4 linked regions of the Drosophila melanogaster genome follow. Changing the gene in region 3 together with the main gene of any one other region gives a genetic interaction. Each region holds a gene or a part of one and is shown on either strand. Other genes may lie near its edges. The genes, in order: Adck1, Trxr1, Sod1 and Sod2.

Region 1 (4,682 bases), on a different chromosome or scaffold from region 3:
CGCCCAATAAGAAGACTGCTCGAATGAATGACAGCTTCTTCACCACTGAAGAAAAGAAGAAGCTCGGAGACTATAACACCAACACATTTAATCCCACGGAGGAAGCAGGAGAGGCGAGTAATAAGCCGAAAACGAATAAGAGGTTTGTTATCATCGATGGTAGCAATGTCGCCTTTGCGTAAGTTCTCTGCTTAAAGCTAACTCTAGACGGACTATTTATTTCATTTTCATTTGACAGTCATGGCAACTCAAACGTGTTTTCATCAGAGGGAATAAAGTATTGCTTGCAGTATTTTGAGAAAATGGGTCACGAAGTTAAGGCTGTGGTTCCAATGTTCCGGAAAAACAACTTCAAGTCTTCGAATCCCGAGCTTCTCGATAAGCTGCACAAGGAAGGGAAGATTGTGTTTACGCCGTGCAAAAACATTCCCGGTCAAATTACGTCTAGCTACGATGATCGGTGAGCTCCTTAGAAAAAACTTCTATTTAGAAATGGAAATGCATAATTTTTTTTTTCAGTTTCATTTTGCAGCTGGCATACGAAAAGAATGCCGCCGTGGTTTCCAACGACAACTACAGAGACCTGATTAATGAAAATCCTGCATTTAAATTGATCGTTGAGAATCGAGTTCTTGGTTACTCCTGGTGCGACAACATATTCATTTTACCCAAGGATCCTTACGGCCGCTGGGGACCTACCCTCGACGAAATTTTGAGGTGCTAATGCACCTAGCCATATATTTGTTTTCAAATTATTCTTTAGTTTCGTGTTATATCTTAAGTTAGTAGTTTTCATTTAGTTTGGTTGCGAATTATTCAACTTTCTTTTCCTTTACAATTAGCGTTAAGTTGGTCAATACTGAAGAGTTAATACGCAGCGTTTACTCATTTTATTAGCATATAGCATATAGTTTTCGACCAGAAGGGTTTTCATATGCCTACTATTTTAAAAATCTTGCAAAATTACGAAGTTCATTATTTACATATAATTTTCGACCAGAAAAATTTTTTAATATGCACTATACGTTTATTTATTTATTTACTCCAATGGGGTTTATAAGTTATGCAAAATTAAAGAGTTGCCGAGGAGCAAGATTTATTTACAAAGGCAAAGCTGTACAGTGTCTTGTTTAGTGTATAAATAATAATAGATTTACTATTTCTCAGAAGTCCAATGCTTTGTTACACCACTGGTGGTTGGCCGTTGACCAAAAATACGGTGGTGGTGGTGGAAGTGGTGGTTGTGGCCACGTTCGCCTCGTAAACCGGCGGTGGTTCGTTAATTCCAACCGCCAAATTGGGATTGCTCGCTTCCAAGCTGGTGGCTATGGTCAGTGTGCTGTCCTGCTTTCGCTCGCTAAAAGCGGCCTCGTCGTAGCTGGGCGGCAAATCCAAGGTCTTGGGCAGGACACTAACTTCGTTCTGGCTGTTTGAGCACACGTTTCCGACTCCTCCGGAGCCGCCGTTGCAATTGTTCGTCACATTGATCTCCATTTGGCGACGGGCTGCGAAAAAAGAGATTTAAATCGTAGTGGACAAGGAAACCTCAGAGAATCTCTTTAAAAACGGAAGTTAGCAACTATATCTTTTAAATATACGTCTAAATCGCTGCGTTCTGTTAACCGATACCTGCTAATATTGGTATTCCTTTATATATAGCGTAACATGTTCTGTTAACCGTTAAATGTTACCCGCTTTTAAAGCAGAAAAAGCAACCAGCCTTCCACAGGGGGGTCGGGTCTCACTAATGACTTTCAACATACTGTTCGAGTCGTTCTTTATTTTAAACGACATTTATAATAACGTTTTTCATGCTGATTAAAAAGCCGTTATATTATGGTAAGAGCACTCAACCCCCTTATGCCAAAACAACTACGCCCTTGAGCTCTGCTATTGGGTCAGCTGCTCTGACGCCAGGCCAACAGCTGATTGCGCCAACTAAGGCCACCACAGAAGTGGAAGCGCATCAATTTAATCACAGACTTTGGAATTTCAACACCTACGCGCCGTTGAACTCCGGCGCTATCTGTAGTGCACCATATCGAGTAAGTGAAACTATTGGCAGTCATTCCGAGCGAGCCGCGACTCACCTTCAGTCAGTTGTGTTTACATAATGGCGCAGACGAAATTACTGAGGTGAAAGTTTAGCTACATGTGAGCGCTGGAAAATGTAAATGGGAAAAATGTAAATGAAAATGCTGGCGGAGATGCAACAGGTTAAGTGGGCTGTATTCGCCAAAAATCAGTTAGCGGAGGGCAAAGTTCAAAGTGCCTCAGTGCCTTGGTTCCGCGTAAAACTACGCGCTTAATTTAGGTGAAAGCCCAAAGGTTAATCGGCATTGACACCTGTTGTTTTTGCACACCGGACTAAACGCTCTTCATTTTGCAGCCGGAGGAATGCTGTTGCGTCGCGTTCTGGGCTACGGAGTAGTCGGCGCCGGACTGGCCTCCGCCGGCTGGAGCCTGCACACCAACGACTACGATCCCAACTCACTCGGAATCGTCCGGCTGTCGCGATCCGCCGCCGCCGTCGTGGACGTGGCACTCACCTACAAGCGGGAACTTTACTACAAGGAATGGGATAAGGAGACGCCCGAGTACAAGGCGGAAAAGAGCCGGGTCCACAAGATAGCCGCCGAGAAGCTACTTCAGCTGATCTGCATAAACAAGGGTGTCTACATCAAGGTGGGCCAGCACATAGGGGCCTTGGAGTACCTGCTACCCAAGGAGTTTGTGCAGACCATGAAGGTACTTCACTCCGATGCGCCGCAAAACCCCATTGAGGACCTGTATAAGGTAATCCGACAGGATCTGCACTGCAATCCGGAAGAAATCTTCGACAGCTTCGAGAGGGAGCCGCTGGGAACTGCTTCCCTTGCCCAGGTACATAAGGCGCGCCTCAAGACCGGCGAGCTGGTGGCCGTGAAGGTGCAACATCCCTACGTTAAGGGTAACTCCCGCGTTGACATGAAGACCATGGAACTGGCCGTTAATGTGCTGGCTCGGATATTTCCCGACTTCAAGATCCACTGGCTGGTTGAGGAGTCTAAAAAGAACTTGCCAATCGAACTCGATTTCCTAAACGAGGGACGTAACGCCGAGAAAGTAGCCAAGCAGTTCAAGAAGTACTCGTGGCTTCGGGTGCCCAAGATATACTGGAAATATAGCTCTTCTCGAGTCCTAGTCATGGAGTACCTGGAGGGTGGGCATGTCACGGACTTGGACTACATACGGCGAAACAAAATTGACTCATTTGCGGTGGCCAATCGCATTGGGCAGCTCTACTCCGAGATGATCTTCCGCACCGGTTTCGTGCACAGCGATCCGCATCCAGGAAACATCTTGGTAAGACGCACGCCGGAAAACAGTCTGGAGATAGTTCTGCTGGATCACGGGCTGTATGCAAATCTGACGGACAAGTTTCGGTACGATTATTCCAATCTCTGGCTGAGTATCCTTAAGGTGGACCGCAAAGCGATGCGACAACACAGTGAGCAGCTGGGAATTAAGGTATTTTCGCTTGGGAGGTGGATTTGAACCTAAACCTTCTAACCTTCTAAACCTTCAATCCAGGGCGATCTGTACGGTCTTTTCGCATGCATGGTGACGGGACGACCTTGGGAGACGGTGATGCAGGGCCTGACCAAAGTCAAATATTCCAAAGAAGAGGTAAGTTCGTGCCGGAAATTCTTCTCTTCAATTACTCGTAGTATATGCTTTGATTCTGCAGAAGAACACGCTGCAAAACAACACGTCCCTGGTGCTGCCGCACATTTCCGACGTATTGGAGCAGGTGGACCGTCAGATGCTGCTCATTCTGAAGACAAATGACTTGATCCGCGGAATTGAGTCCACGCTGCGCACGCAGAACCGGATGACCGCCTTCTGGGTTATGTCCAAGTGCTGTGTTCAATCTTCGTACGCTGAACAGCGAGCCAAGCAGTCTGATTCCGGATCCTCGCGAATCCTGTGGCTGCGGGTGCGCGAGCGATGGGAGCTTTTCAAGCTCAACTGCTACTACCTCTACCTGGGACTGATTAATTTTGGTTTCCTTGAAGCTCTCAAGCAGGTTATTTAGACTAAACGGTGTCCCCCAATTAAAAGTACAAAACTCTTCACGAGGAAAGGGAAATTACCTCGTTGTCTCTGCTGGGCCAGATTCCGCACATTGGTCTCTCGCTTGCGTTTGGCGCTCTTCGGGGAGAGAGTGAATCATTAGCAGGAGCAGGTAGTGTCCCATTCCGAATGGGCTTACCATAATCATGGCCAGAGGAAAGGCGATGACGAAGAGGAAGACCAGCACAATGTAAATGACATAGCTGGGATAAAATAACATGTATGGACCATCGTAGCCGCCACCGTTGATCCAAATTGTGACGGAAGTGGTGTTAACGTATTCCCAATCCGATGTCGTACTTTCAGTGGTGTTAAGTGTTCCGTTGGCCACCGTGGTGGAGTCAAAAGGGGTGCTGACCGTCGCGTTTATGGCAGGGGCCATGTTGAACTCGGGTGTTAATTCCTGATTGGAACTGAAAAATGTCTCGAAGACAGCAGTTCTCTGACGAACAGACAGAGCCGACTAACCTGAACTACTGGCCACCGAATTGATAGGACATCCGGGCATGGGTCAGACTCGGGGCTGACAGCGAAGAACGCACATATTTGCTTTGTAATCATTAGCT
Region 2 (6,724 bases), on a different chromosome or scaffold from region 3:
CATCTCGCTTTGTTTCGTGGCATCCAATCGGAGATACCACCTCGAAAGTGTTCCATACATACATATATGATTAATGCTAATTCCTTATAGAAGCTATTGAATTCTCTTTGCTGTTCATTAATTGATTGCATCAATTTACTGTCTTAATTTGATTTTGATTTGCTTGCGAGGATTCCTTAGGTCATAAACTTCAACCTTTTCGTAGCTTCTATTACACTTTATCACGCACTGTTTTTCCTTTGAAAACTAAAGTATAATTTATTACCCACTGATATATGTATCTCCAGGGTGCCATCGTTCGTAGCTGATTTATAGCCCTCGAGGGCAAAGATTCCCCTAGCAATGGCATTAGCAATTAGTCGGGTGGCTAACAAGTTGTCAGGCTGGCAGACAGAATCGATTTAGCCAGGTCAAGTCAAGCCATTTGCATGGCTAATGAACTTACTTGATTGAAAAGGCAGAGGAAGGGCTAAAGGTCGAGGTATGTTTTAAAGGAAATGCACAGAACTGAAACACAGAGGGGTTTGTTGGTGAAAAATTATATTCTTCAACCGTACATTTAGGGGATTTCATAGTTAATTTCATAGGTTCAAACAAATTCAAAATTTTGAGTGCATGTCGGCGGCGCAGCAGTCGTGGGTTGGGCTGGTCGCGCGGGTAGTTCCACTGGTGTCGTTCCACCCGCCATCGCTGCCCAGTGCCCCTCCCTTGCGCAGAGCTATTGTGTTGGGTGTTAATTGTGGAAACGAAACGGAACTATTGAACTCATCGATCGCTGGGCCGCGACAACAACCATTCATCTACGGGATTTCGGGTGGAGCAAGCGGCTTCGACACGTCCCAGGCGGCTGAGCTGCGTTCCCGCTTTAGCTGCAGCAGCTGGCCGGCGTGGGGTCCAGTCCGGAGCGCTTGGTGATGGCCAGCCGGGTGAATTCTTCGGCGGTAGTGGGATGGATGCCCACGGTGTTGATCAGCGTGTTAATAGTCAGGCCAGACTTCAAAGCGGCAGCGAATCCCTGGATAACCTCACCGGCCACCGGGCCAATATAGTGCAGTCCATAGACGCGCTGGTCACCATGGCGCTCGGCCACAGCCTTCAAGTAGCAGTAGCGCACGCTCTTCTGGGGAATGAAGAACTCCGTGGGCTTGTAGTAGCCGTGGAACACCTCGATCTCATCGGCTCCGAACTGCTTGACGGCATCCTCCTCGCTCAGGCCGACGCAGGCGTACTCCAGGGGCGTGAAAACGGTGGTGGCCACATCCTTGTAGTCCATGCGCTGGGTAGATCCTCCGTACAGGCGGCGGGCCAGCAAACGGCCAGCCAAAACGGCGACGGGCGTCAGCTCTGGCTTGCCATAGATGATATCGCCGACAGCGTAGATGTTTGCCACATTGGTAGCCTCCTGGGAGTCCACTGGAATCTTGTCCTTCTGCACAGTCACGCCGGCATTGGGCAGGTTCAGATCGTCCACCAGACCCTTGCGGCCGATGGCCCACAGAACGGTGTCGTAAACATCCTCGGCCTCCTCGCCGGTCTCCACGTTCTTGTACTTCACGAGCAGCTTGCCATCATCCTGCTTTTCCACGGACAGCGGCACCGTCTTGCGGAGGAAGGGAATGCCACGCTCCTCCATCGAGGCTGCCACCAGCTCGGCCATCTGCTGGTCGAAGCCACGCAGCACAATAGAACGCACCATCACAGTGGGCTCGTAGCCGAGACCCTTCAGGAATCCAGCGCACTCCAAGCCAATGTCTGAGTGAAAGAGCAGAAACCGAATGGGTTATTCATCAATTTGATGTAAGCAAATGAAAGTAGCTACTTACAGCCAGCTCCCACCACCAGGGTCTTGCCGGGCTCGCGGTCCAAACTGAACAGATCATCGCTGGTGATGCCATACTCGACAGCACCGGGAATATCCGGATAACGTGGTCGGCCGCCAACGGCAATGACGAAGGTCTGGGCGGTGATTGTGCGCTCGCCGCTCTTCAGCTTGGCCAGCAGTGTGTGCGAGTCCACGAAGGAGCCCAGTCCATTGATGTACTCCACTTTCCTGAGCGCAAATAGAAGGGTATAATTAGTGGGGATGCTCGAGCGGAAGCCATAGATATAGTCACACTTACTTGTCGCGCAGATCCACACGGGTCACCCAGTTGACGGACTTGATGTGGTTCTGTACGGACTGCACCAGCTTGTGCCAGTCTGGCTTGATCTTTTCGTCCACGTTCCAGCCGTAGGCGGCCGCCTCATGGACAGCCTCGCCCAGAAGGGAGGCCTGGTGCATCAGCTTCTTGGGAATGCAGCCCACGTTCACGCAGGTGCCGCCAACGCCCCACTTGGTGCCCAGAGTGGGCGTGGGCTTAACGAAATCCAGACAGGCCACACGGGCTCCATTGAGGACTGCCTCCTTGGCGCAGGCCAGGCCAGCTGAGCCGCCTCCAATCACAATAAGGTCGTAGTCGTAGGATCCTGCAGGAGAAAAAAGGTTTTCGTTTGATTCATCGCCTTTTGTCTATAGAAATATGTAATCTACTGCCAAAATTGGGCTTAAAGAGGTCAAGAGGTCACAGAACATGAGGAGCCGTCAGGAAATCTAATCGTAGCACAGCCAATTCACCTTGTATTATTAAAAACTTATCACCGTTAGTAACATCAATAGCCATGTTGTATTGGCATGGTCTGTTTTTGTTCTTAACCAGTATCTAGATTAGTTGAAAATCCTTATCAGTGATAGGTAATGATATCAATTAGCCATGTGGTGCCAACTACTCAAGTTTCTCTTTAGCTTCACTCATGATTATGGCTAATCCCCGCCTGCCTTTGGTGGACTCCTCGCGCAGTCGTATGTCCAGATAGGCGGATCGGTAGATGCTCCTCCGGTGGCGTGGTTCACCCTCGACCAACTGGGAAGCCGGTATGAATTCGAACAGATGCATCCAGACCAAAGAAGTGCGGAACGAAGACTGTTTGGCCTCCTGCAATCCGTAATCTGCACCGTGCAATCCCGTCGAGCTCCTTGGCTTCAGTTGCCAGGTAGCGATAGTGCTGCCGAATGCCACACATGCCACTGGGTCAGTGGGAGTTCGAATCAAAGTGGAGCAATCATCTAGCGACATCGCCACACACCAAGCCACGCCCATCCCAGCCCGGCCACGCCTTTCTTCCGTCCGTCCACCTACGCCCCCCCATTCGGTTTGCTTTGACCCGCCGGACTTTGTCATGGTTACGCCCCAAAACTAGTTGGCAACACCACACACAATTCGCTTTTATCGGACGGAATGCTAATCCTGGCCAGGAACAGGGGGAAATCAGGTGGCTACGTACGAATGCGAGTGCAAATAAACAATTGTTGTCGTCACACTGCAATTAATTGCGGAATGAAGTGGTGATGACGCAGCTCAGCAATGATGATGAAAGATCAAAGACGATGGCGGGCGCTCGTTGAGCGACGGATACGAGAGATACGAAATAGAAAACACAGATAAAGGGAATAAATGCACCCGACTGATATGGTGAAATCATCATCATCATCATCATAAAGCGATTCTCGAACATTCCGCAAAGGGTTATTCGTTCAAGAGCACCGCATTCGACAAAAATCACACATATCACGTTGGTGCTTTAAGAAATCCTATTATACCCTTAATTACCATTTGAAATCAGAATATGGCATATATTTATAAGTAAATTCTTCTATTGTTTTCGGAATTAGAAGCTTCGTATCTGCTCGATTGGCTAATTATTCATTTAACAAGAAAACTTGATCGTGGCATGTGGGATTTATATTATATTACAAATTAAAACATCAAATACGTTTAACTTCATATAAATAGATATTAGTTTTTTTTTACCAGCTAAAGGCAAAATGGCAATACAAGTGACTTGTATGAATGTAATTTAACAAATATTATTAATTCGTTAAGTCATATGATGTAATTCTTTTTTGAGGCAAATAACTGATATTGTTTAAGCTGCAATTGAGTAATGGTTTTATGAGCAATCCATAATTCAATTAAAAAAATTCGACTGACATAGTATTTATACGCGATTCAGAACTTTGTTGACCATTATACTTAGAGGATGTGCTCTTTTTGGCGCCCACAACGATGGCGCAAATCATGTACTTCAGCATGATACGAGTTTCGAGTGCTGTTCGCGCGACCCCGACTGTACAATTCCAGTTGGAGCGGGTGCGCGATGACGATTGACGATGACGGTGCAAATGTGAGACAGCAAATGCCGGGCAGGCATATAAACCCTTGGCGAATACGTGCCGCAGAAACCCGATAAGCCAGGTAATAAGAGCAGAGTAATGGACTTTTTGGCCAGGCAACTAACGGTTATTGCATAATGGCGTCGGTTAAACACAAGAAGACCCAGAAAAAACAACAAGCAAGAAAACCGCGACAATCGACCGCGTTGCCAACCGGCGGCAACAGGAGCAGCAGCTGCGGCGGCAACAGCAAAGATCTAATCAGAATATCAATCGATATCGATGCTCACCTCCTTTGGTGCTCATCTTTCGCACCGGTTGCGCGTACATGGCCGCCCTGTCGCAATGTGGATGCTGGAAGGGTGGTGGTGCGCCGGCACCGGATCCGGCTGGAGCATTCCCACCGGTAGCTCCAGTACTGTCGCGTGATCCTCGCTGTCCCGTCAAGTTCATAGTTCGCTGAAACGTGTGATGGGCACAGCTGAGACTACTGGAAATCCAATGGGGAACCTTTGTTGTCAGTGAGCCTCTGTTTTGTATAATGCCAGCCGAAGGAGACGTTAAAATCGTCGAGCACTGCCGCACGAACGTAACGGAGAATCTCGAATTGCACAAGTTCATCTTGTTGGCCTTTCCCCTTCTTCAACGTTTGGCGTTTCACTCTACCAGCTGGAGGCGAAACGAAACTATTCGCGAAAAGGGTGCAGAAAAATGACGGCGGAACACACAACACAAACACGTTCGCTGGTTCGGCCGGGAATGCTGCGAAAGCGGTGGGCAGGCAGAGGCGCCGATAAACGGCTACGTAACAGAAGCAGCGAGAAAGAGAGAGGGCGCAAGAGCGCGTACCGCAAAAACGAGAATGTTTGGGATAAAATGGATTTGCCATAAAGGAGCATCCATTGGATTGCGAAATTCCATTTGGGATTTGAACATCACAACAGTTGTTCTGCCCTTTGCCAATTGGAAATGTGCGAAACGCACGTTTGGCAATGCGCAAGTGTATCGATAACTCGCGGATGGTTGGTAACACTGCTGCTGTCCGAACGAAACAGCCGGCCGTCAAAATTTTTCCTAACATTTCACTATTTTCACGCTTGTGTTACGGCAATAAAGTCGATTGATAAGCACGGAAAGATCTGGCTGCGGGTCTGGTGAAATCCACAGAACACACGGAACCCGTATAGTAGTGCCGCCCTTTATTGGTTTTATCTCAAGTACGACGCGATAAGATTTCGAGCAACTCGATCGCGGATCTTCGGAAAAAAAAAACATGAACTCCATCCTGATAACCGGCTGCAATCGAGGATTGGGTCTGGGCCTGGTCAAGGCGCTGCTCAATCTTCCCCAGCCGCCGCAGCATCTATTTACCACCTGCCGGAATCGCGAGCAGGCAAAGGTGAGAGATGTTTTCTTCTTATTTTGCGTTGTCTCTCTACTAAGACAATCCAGTAATCCAACAAAACCGGTGACTCACAACCGTCGAGCTACAGAAACTACAGAAGCTACGCGAACAATCCACAAGAGCCACTATTTCTACAAACCGCTTTTTAATCGTCCAAATGGGCATGCATAAATTGAATGGTTCAATTGGAATCGAATTAACTGTGAAACTCACCTTGCACGGGCGCCATTATTTTGTTGCTTGTTGGTAGGTGCTCCACGTAAATCAGACAGAAAACAAGGATCAACGGCGGGTAGTGAATGTTGTTGTAGTCGAAGCGGAAATGTAAAAACTGCTAAGCGTGTATTGTAGCGGCTCTCGGCACTCGCGAAAGCACGAAACGAATAAGCGGAGCCAACTTTTGCAATAGCTTTTGTACTTTCGTACGAGCGTGCGAAAGGGAGACGTCGATTGGCTTGTCGATTGCTGGGCCGACTATTGTTCGGTCACACCAGCAGCACTTATCGTCTATCGGTTATTATGGCACTAACGCGCTCGTTGGGCGCGCTATTTAAACTCTCATGAAATACCAAATTTGCCTCTAAAAATTACAGTAATTTAACTGGAAAATTATTCATATATAAACTGCTTTTTTACTAATAATGTGCTTCTTATTCAAACATTTTGTCTTTCCCAATTTGGCCCACAGGAGCTGGAGGATCTAGCCAAGAACCACTCGAACATACACATACTTGAGATTGGTAAGCATTATGTTTTACCAGCCGCTAAACACTCTCGCATATAAATATATTTTCCGTGCAGATTTGAGAAATTTCGATGCCTATGACAAGCTAGTCGCCGACATCGAGGGCGTGACCAAGGACCAAGGCCTCAATGTGCTCTTCAACAATGCCGGCATAGCGCCCAAATCGGCCAGGATAACGGCCGTTCGATCGCAGGAGCTGCTCGACACCTTGCAGACCAACACGGTTGTGCCCATCATGCTGGCCAAGGCGTGTCTGCCGCTCCTTAAGAAGGCAGCCAAAGCGAACGAATCCCAGCCGATGGGCGTGGGCCGTGCCGCCATTATTAACATGTCCTCGATCCTTGGCTCCATCCAGGGCAACACG
Region 3 (3,741 bases):
TGATTCATTCAATGCGTGTCTTAAACATTTATTTTCGTATTTTCCAGTAGTGGCAGTCCGTACTACGTAACCAATCAAAGCTCTGGAGTGGCCACACCACAGACGCATGTGGAAGGAAGCGCAGCGAGCGGCGGCGGCGGAGGCGGCGGGGTTGGAGCTCTGCTTGCGCTAAAGAGGAACCATGTGATGGGCGGCGGGGCATCGCAGCATACGCTGCATCAGCAGCAGGCCGTGGCCCAGCAACAGCATTCAGAGATTATCTACGAGGAGTTGCCGACCGACTACAGCGGCCACATTGAGGCCAGCGAGGAGGAGTGCGTCACCACTGCCACCGATGCCACCGTGGCCAAGCGACCCAAGTATGTGTCGGAAGTGCTCTGATGCGTGCGGATCCAGAAGCACCGGCAGAACAAGGGCAAATAGTGAGGCCCATGGGTGTAAACGATTAGAAAGCAAAAACAAAAAAGTATCTCCATCTTGTATATTGAATTTGCCAATCAAAAACCTATACCTAAACCCCGAAATACAAATCAAATTAAATAGCCACACACGCAGAACTTAAGGAACATGAACGCACGCGAAGAGCAATGTATATGTAAATTGATATGGAACATTTTACAAATAGCAACTGTGAGATGATTGTGTTTGAAATGTTGGCCATGCAGCCGTTCAACGGCGGCGACTTATGCAAGCACACATTTTGAAAATTCGAAAACCCGATTCGAAGTAACGACTTTATCCCCTAGATCTGACGAATTCAATATGCTCGATGACGCTACTCTCTAAGTAATATAATAAATTTTAAGTTTACAACAAGGTAAAGCAGCAAACAAAGCAAAATTATCTAGATATATGCGATTGATTATTGTAATGATTGATGATTATGATGTTTAAGATGTTATAGCTATGTGACCGAATTGTGCGAGAAACGTGAAAAAAAATTTGGGGAAAATTAAGTAACAAGCAAGCAAACCACACAAGTAACAAACAAACAAACAAACAGGCGAATGAATAATATTACCTATCTACATACCTTTACCTATATCGATTTAAATATAATATATATATATATGTGTATATATATATATGTATATCTATATTAATATATATACAAATTATTAAAATACAAACAAAAACAAAAATGATGAAAATAAATAAGTAATATCTACAAATTTACGGATACAATAACAATATATAAAGATTGAAATGATAGCACATTATTTCTTATTAATGAAGAAAATCCCATTTAAGTGTTTGGACAAATTGTGTATTAAAAAAAAAAACAAAAATCAAATGTAAACTTTCTTGTTTCAATTTGTTAATATTTACCTGCTTTAATTGAATTAGATAGATGAATGAATACTAGTTGATACTAGTCAACAGGAGCGCAATCAAGTCTGGGCATTTATTGGGGAATTCCTGGATTCGTTTTTTATTTATACAAAACAAAGTAAATTGAATAGTTCCCGCCACTGTCATTGGAATAAATGGAAGGCTTCCAAGTGAACCACCCGTTCGTTGAACAGCTCAAAAAATTCAACGCCATTTGTGCAGTAAAATTGTTCCGTTTTCAAATTTTGTAATTTGTAGCTTTTATCCTTAAAAATGTAAATAAATGTCCCAATAAAACATGAGCTTGAAATATTACAAAGAAAAAATGCTTCCAGTAACGGCATAATAGTGTGAACGAAACTTTTGCACAACTGAACACTAACAGTAAAAGTTCCGCATGTATTTCTAAGCTGCTCTGCTACGGTCACACCATAGAAGATACCTGGAAAGTTCTCAACTTTTTTCGTTTTGATAAATTGATTAATTCATTCGAAATGGTGGTTAAAGCTGTCTGCGTAATTAACGGCGATGCCAAGGGCACGGTTTTCTTCGAACAGGAGGTGAGAATCCAAAATCATTTGAACTTCTCTGCTCGGCAAAATGTACGAAAAACAGAAGTTCTAAAGGTCAAATAGCCGGCTGCACCCGCGGCCCCCTCTTCCACTTCAATATGCTGCTTTAAATTCTGTCGAGCATTTTAATTAAGTCCGATTTGAGTTTACGCCTAGTCACCCAGCAAGTGCACCTTTATATTTATATAAGCCGCACCAAAATGCGCATATGTGTGTGCGCTCAAGTGCCTACAGCAAAGGTCACGAAATTGGTACTGGACATAAAAAGGAGTTAAGATATAAAGCTCACTTGTTCGTAAAGTATCGTTAAATATCAACAAATATTTGTTTTAGAATAAGCATTAGGAATATGGGAATAATTAGAATGATGCTGTTCATAATTAATTTGTACATCAAAGTCAAAGCAGCAATGTCAAGTGTCAAGTAAACGATTATAAACTTGATGATTACAGGTTATGTTTCAGTGCCGAGGAAATTTATGTTTTTAATCTATAAAGATAACCAAATGTTTACTTTGCTGCCTATAAATATTTCCGTTTAACGTGTGTCTATTAACAAATGTTATTTTCTATAATAACCTATTATCATATGAAGTTGGCCACGCTCGTTATCATAATCAGTGCTTCTGCTCACTATTATACACAACTTGTGTCTTATCAGTATTCGAGTATTATCTGAAGCGTTATAACCCAATCCCTTCATCCCGTCCACAGAGCAGCGGTACGCCCGTGAAGGTCTCCGGTGAGGTGTGCGGCCTGGCCAAGGGTCTGCACGGATTCCACGTGCACGAGTTCGGTGACAACACCAATGGCTGCATGTCGTCCGGACCGCACTTCAATCCGTATGGCAAGGAGCATGGCGCTCCCGTCGACGAGAATCGTCACCTGGGCGATCTGGGCAACATTGAGGCCACCGGCGACTGCCCCACCAAGGTCAACATCACCGACTCCAAGATTACGCTCTTCGGCGCCGACAGCATCATCGGACGCACCGTTGTCGTGCACGCCGATGCCGATGATCTTGGCCAGGGTGGACACGAGCTGAGCAAGTCAACGGGCAACGCTGGTGCCCGCATCGGGTGCGGCGTTATTGGCATTGCCAAGGTCTAAGCGATAATCTATTCCGATGTCGGCCACTGTGCTGATCTACTCTATTTAGCACTACCCACTGGAGATATACAAACGATATACATACTTCTAAACATAAATACATAGCCTGTGGTCTGTTAGTTGATACGCAACCTTTGAGGTTCAATAAATTGGTGTTTTGAAATTGCCCCATAAACAAAAGTTATAGTTTTCATTTGAGTTGAGATGGTAAGAATGAATATATCACTTGTTGCTCGACGAATTCGCAAGTAGAATCGGGTTATAGATTCGTATGAAATGAATTACATATTAGATGAGTGCAGAACCCAAAAATCACGATGAGACACACATTCGTTCATGTTTTGATAACATATCTCCGTTTTAGATTATTTATTTATTTTTGTAATTACTTTGGTTACTCTCCGGGCAGCCTGGTTAAAAGTCTTTAAAACACACTTTATAAACAATGAGTTAGGTAGTATTATTTACAAAAAATATTGTAAATCAAGATACTCGCCACATGAGTAGAAACTAATATTAATTTCGTGTGCGGTATAAATTCACTACAAAAGAACAAAGTCATATACTACGACGGGGATTTAAATGAACCTAGGTCTTGTTGAAATATGATTGGTAGACAATGCCCAGCGATGAAGTGGCGAATAGGGTGAAGTAGCTCCACCAGGTGGCAAAGCCCAGGAAACCCTTGTACACCTCCGTGGAGAAAACCTGAAAAAGAAATTATGATT
Region 4 (3,272 bases), on a different chromosome or scaffold from region 3:
GGCGGAACCAACTTCTTCGTACTCCAAGCTGTCGATCCACATGTTTTGGAAGCTCGTGAGTGAGGCCAAGACGGAACCACCCGTCCAAACGGAGAATCTGCGGTCTGGACTAGCGTTAACCTTGATTCGGATGGATGGTGGAGCCATTTCGGTTAGGTCTTGCAGGAATCTATGCTCGATGTTACGAAACATGGTCGTACCGCCAGAGAGAACAATGTTCGCATACATATCCTTTCGCAGATCCATGTCGCAGTTGGTTATCGAGTGATGGGTGGCCTCGTGGATGCCCATCACCTCCTGACCCAGCAAACTGGGTTGGAAGAGAGCCTCCGGGCAGCGGAATCTCTCGCAGCCCAAAACGATTTTCTGCCCATCTGGCAGCTCATAGGTTTCCACCTTTCCGTGGAGATCCATTTCCTTGGCATAGTTCATTGACACATAGCAGAGTTTCTCCTTGATTTCACGCACGATTTCCCGTTCAGCAGAGGTGCCCATTGTAACGCCCCTCTCCAGAAGCAGCTTGCATAGATAATCGGTGAGGTCCCTGCCGGCCAGATCAACTCGTACACAGGCGTGGGGCAGGGCAAATCCTTCGTAGATCGGTACCGTGTGCGTCACACCATCACCCGAGTCCACCACAATGCCCACAGTACGCCCGGTGGCGTAAAGTGAGAGCACAGCCTGAACTGCTACATAAAAAGCTGGCACCTGAAAGTGTTCGAACATAATCTCTGTCATCTTCTCTCTATTCTTCTTCGGATTCAGTGGGGCTTCGGTGAGTAGAGCCGGCAAATCCATTGGATCCGCCCGCAAGAGCTCGTACGTGTGCTGCCAAACCATCTCCATTTCATCCCAGTTCTTGACCATTCCGTGCTCGATGGGATACTTTAGGGTTAGTATTCCCCTTTTTCGGGCTGCCGCCTCGCCAATAACACTATCACCGATCACGGAATCCAGCAGGACGTTCAGGTGACGAGGTCTGCCCACAATCGACGGGAAGACAGCACGGGGAGTATCTTCTGGGGAGAATCCAGCCTTACATACTCCAGAGCCGTTGTCAATAACCACTGCGGCGTGGTGTGAATTACTATCTACCTCGCTGCTCATGTTTCCAGGAGAGGTTGCTGAACGAATCATGGTCAAATCATAAAATCTTTAGCTTATTTAAGCAACTTACGTAAATGTAGATATTTGTGAAGAATGTTCTGTGCCCGTTTATTTGTTATATCGATTTTGATTCGGGAAGGTATTTGAAATGTAGACATGTTGTGTGCTGTGTTCCAGTCGGATTTTTAAACTTATGACGTTAATTTCATGGTTTATTTCCAATTTAGCGCCATGACATACAGAGGCCAAAAATCGATTAATTCAAGTATCAATCGAATGGATGCAGTCGATACGTAAGCAGCTAAAATATGCTAATAGTCACTAAAGTAGTATTTAAACATAAGAAATATTTAAGAAATCCTCAATATGATTTGAATATGTTTCAGTGCAATGTTTCAATTAAAAATAGTTTTTAATTTCTTTTAGTTTTACTATTTAACTTCAATATATATAAGTTGATCTCACATCACTGACTGATTGGGGTCTTTCGATATTTTCTCATCTGCTCATCTCTAGCAGTAAATTGTTCAAATAGAACAAGCGAAATAACGAGAACGTAAGCCTTGTTTTATTTGATATAAAATCTGATATCGGGACTTAGCCTTATTAGCAGTCGAATAAAACGCAGATATGTTCGTGGCCCGTAAAATTTCGCAAACTGCAAGGTAAGTTGCGAAAAAAAGTATGCCCAAATCGATGCCGGCTGATTACATAAATAGCAACAAATGGCGACCCTGATCTTGAGGACATTATAAAACAAGACACACTTAACCCTTTGCAGCCTGGCGGTGCGTGGCAAGCACACCCTACCGAAGCTGCCCTACGACTATGCCGCCCTGGAGCCTATCATCTGCCGGGAGATCATGGAGCTGCATCACCAGAAGCACCACCAGACCTACGTCAACAATCTAAATGCCGCCGAGGAGCAGCTGGAGGAGGCCAAGTCGAAGAGCGACACCACCAAGCTGATTCAGCTGGCTCCTGCCCTGCGTTTCAATGGCGGTGGCCACATCAACCACACCATCTTCTGGCAGAACCTCTCGCCCAACAAGACCCAGCCCAGCGATGATCTGAAGAAGGCCATCGAGTCGCAGTGGAAGAGCCTCGAGGAGTTCAAAAAGGAGCTGACCACGCTGACCGTGGCGGTCCAGGGCTCCGGCTGGGGCTGGCTGGGCTTCAACAAGAAGTCGGGCAAACTGCAACTGGCCGCCCTGCCCAACCAGGATCCCCTGGAGGCCTCCACCGGCCTGATCCCGCTCTTCGGCATCGATGTCTGGGAGCACGCCTACTATCTGCAGTACAAGAACGTGCGTCCCTCCTACGTGGAGGCCATCTGGGACATCGCCAACTGGGATGACATCTCGTGCCGCTTCCAGGAGGCCAAGAAGCTCGGTTGCTAAGCACAGCCGGCGATTGCGTATGTTTAATCTATAAGCATCTGCGGATCGGAGATCCTAAATTGTAGTCTAAGTTGCGGCTAATAAATTGGTACCAGCTAGCAACTAATTTTTATAATTTTTATGAATGGGAATAAAACAATTTAAAACATAATTTCCGAAGATAACGCTTCACAAAGGCGTATTGAAACTATTACTTCATTGAGGAATTAAAAAATATACATATACCTATTCATATTTTTTATTTTTATCAATTTTATTACGCTCCAAAAAAATTAATTTTTATATTAAATTAAAATATCGCAAATACTGTAAATGTTTTACAACACTGCCGCCCATGGTGCCATCTCTAGCAAATCAGCTGTGCGCGAGCCAAACAAAAACAAAACAAAAGTCAGCCTGCCGCGAAATCGGGGGAGGAAAATTGACATTTCCACCGAGTTTTCCCGAACTTGCGTGCGCGCAGCTGCAAACAATTTTCCAGCACGCGTATCCGAATGGTGGAACAAATGGCCAGCCGCTGGCAGAGTCGTTTGTTGCCTGTTCGCGTAATGGCCATCCTCGAAAATCGCCCGGAGTTTTGAAATCGAGAGACCAGTACGAAACAAAGGAAAATCATTTAATTTCCTGAGGGCGGTGACGAATGAAAAACATACAAAATAAACCACTTGAGTGCAATAATAATTTAATAAAGAACTGTGATTGTGAGTGTGTGAGGAGAACTGTTGACGCCCATCAAGGAATTTAACTTCTAAACTTCTAAACGTA

The links.
Region 1: of Sod1 (region 3) and Adck1, changing one suppresses a phenotype caused by changing the other (phenotypic suppression), as found in Drosophila melanogaster (one study listed by BioGRID).
Region 2: of Sod1 (region 3) and Trxr1, changing one enhances a phenotype caused by changing the other (phenotypic enhancement), as found in Drosophila melanogaster (one study listed by BioGRID).
Region 4: of Sod1 (region 3) and Sod2, changing one enhances a phenotype caused by changing the other (phenotypic enhancement), as found in Drosophila melanogaster (one study listed by BioGRID).

What each region holds. Positions count from the first base shown.
Region 1 is NT_033778.4:24,609,778-24,614,459, forward strand, and holds Adck1 (aarF domain containing kinase 1), read left to right. Parts: upstream 1-1,925; 5' UTR 1,926-2,045; exon of another isoform or gene 2,046-2,067; intron 2,068-2,104; exon of another isoform or gene 2,105-2,389; 5' UTR 2,390-2,397; coding exon 2,398-3,510; intron 3,511-3,573; coding exon 3,574-3,669; intron 3,670-3,730; coding exon 3,731-4,078; 3' UTR 4,079-4,129; downstream 4,130-4,682. Other genes in the region: CG42360 (uncharacterized protein), read left to right, coding at 1-178, 239-460, 520-724; CG4741 (uncharacterized protein), read right to left, coding at 1,183-1,505, 4,137-4,194, 4,256-4,498. UniProt on the Drosophila melanogaster protein: Essential for maintaining mitochondrial cristae formation and mitochondrial function by acting via YME1L to regulate the mitochondrial structural proteins Opa1 and Mitofilin. This function is likely to be kinase-independent.
Region 2 is NC_004354.4:8,241,836-8,248,559, reverse strand, and holds Trxr1 (thioredoxin reductase 1), read right to left. Parts: upstream 4,979-6,724; 5' UTR 4,832-4,978; coding exon 4,501-4,831; intron 4,372-4,500; exon of another isoform or gene 4,130-4,371; coding exon of another isoform or gene 4,063-4,129; intron 3,173-4,062; exon of another isoform or gene 2,934-3,172; coding exon of another isoform or gene 2,816-2,933; intron 2,467-2,815; coding exon 2,121-2,466; intron 2,051-2,120; coding exon 1,824-2,050; intron 1,753-1,823; coding exon 866-1,752; 3' UTR 527-865; downstream 1-526. Other genes in the region: sni (sniffer), read left to right, coding at 5,484-5,609, 6,304-6,355, 6,417-6,724. UniProt on the Drosophila melanogaster protein: Thioredoxin system is a major player in glutathione metabolism, due to the demonstrated absence of a glutathione reductase.
Region 3 is NT_037436.4:11,111,725-11,115,465, reverse strand, and holds Sod1 (superoxide dismutase 1), read left to right. Parts: upstream 1-1,725; 5' UTR 1,726-1,826; coding exon 1,827-1,892; intron 1,893-2,617; coding exon 2,618-3,013; 3' UTR 3,014-3,185; downstream 3,186-3,741. Other genes in the region: FoxK (forkhead box K), read left to right, coding at 48-381; emei, read right to left, coding at 3,602-3,721. UniProt on the Drosophila melanogaster protein: Destroys radicals which are normally produced within the cells and which are toxic to biological systems.
Region 4 is NT_033778.4:16,772,255-16,775,526, reverse strand, and holds Sod2 (superoxide dismutase 2 (Mn)), read left to right. Parts: upstream 1-1,611; 5' UTR 1,612-1,737; coding exon 1,738-1,772; intron 1,773-1,888; coding exon 1,889-2,507; 3' UTR 2,508-2,742; downstream 2,743-3,272. Other genes in the region: Arp53D (Actin-related protein 53D), read right to left, coding at 1-1,124, 1,178-1,265. UniProt on the Drosophila melanogaster protein: Destroys superoxide anion radicals which are normally produced within the cells and which are toxic to biological systems.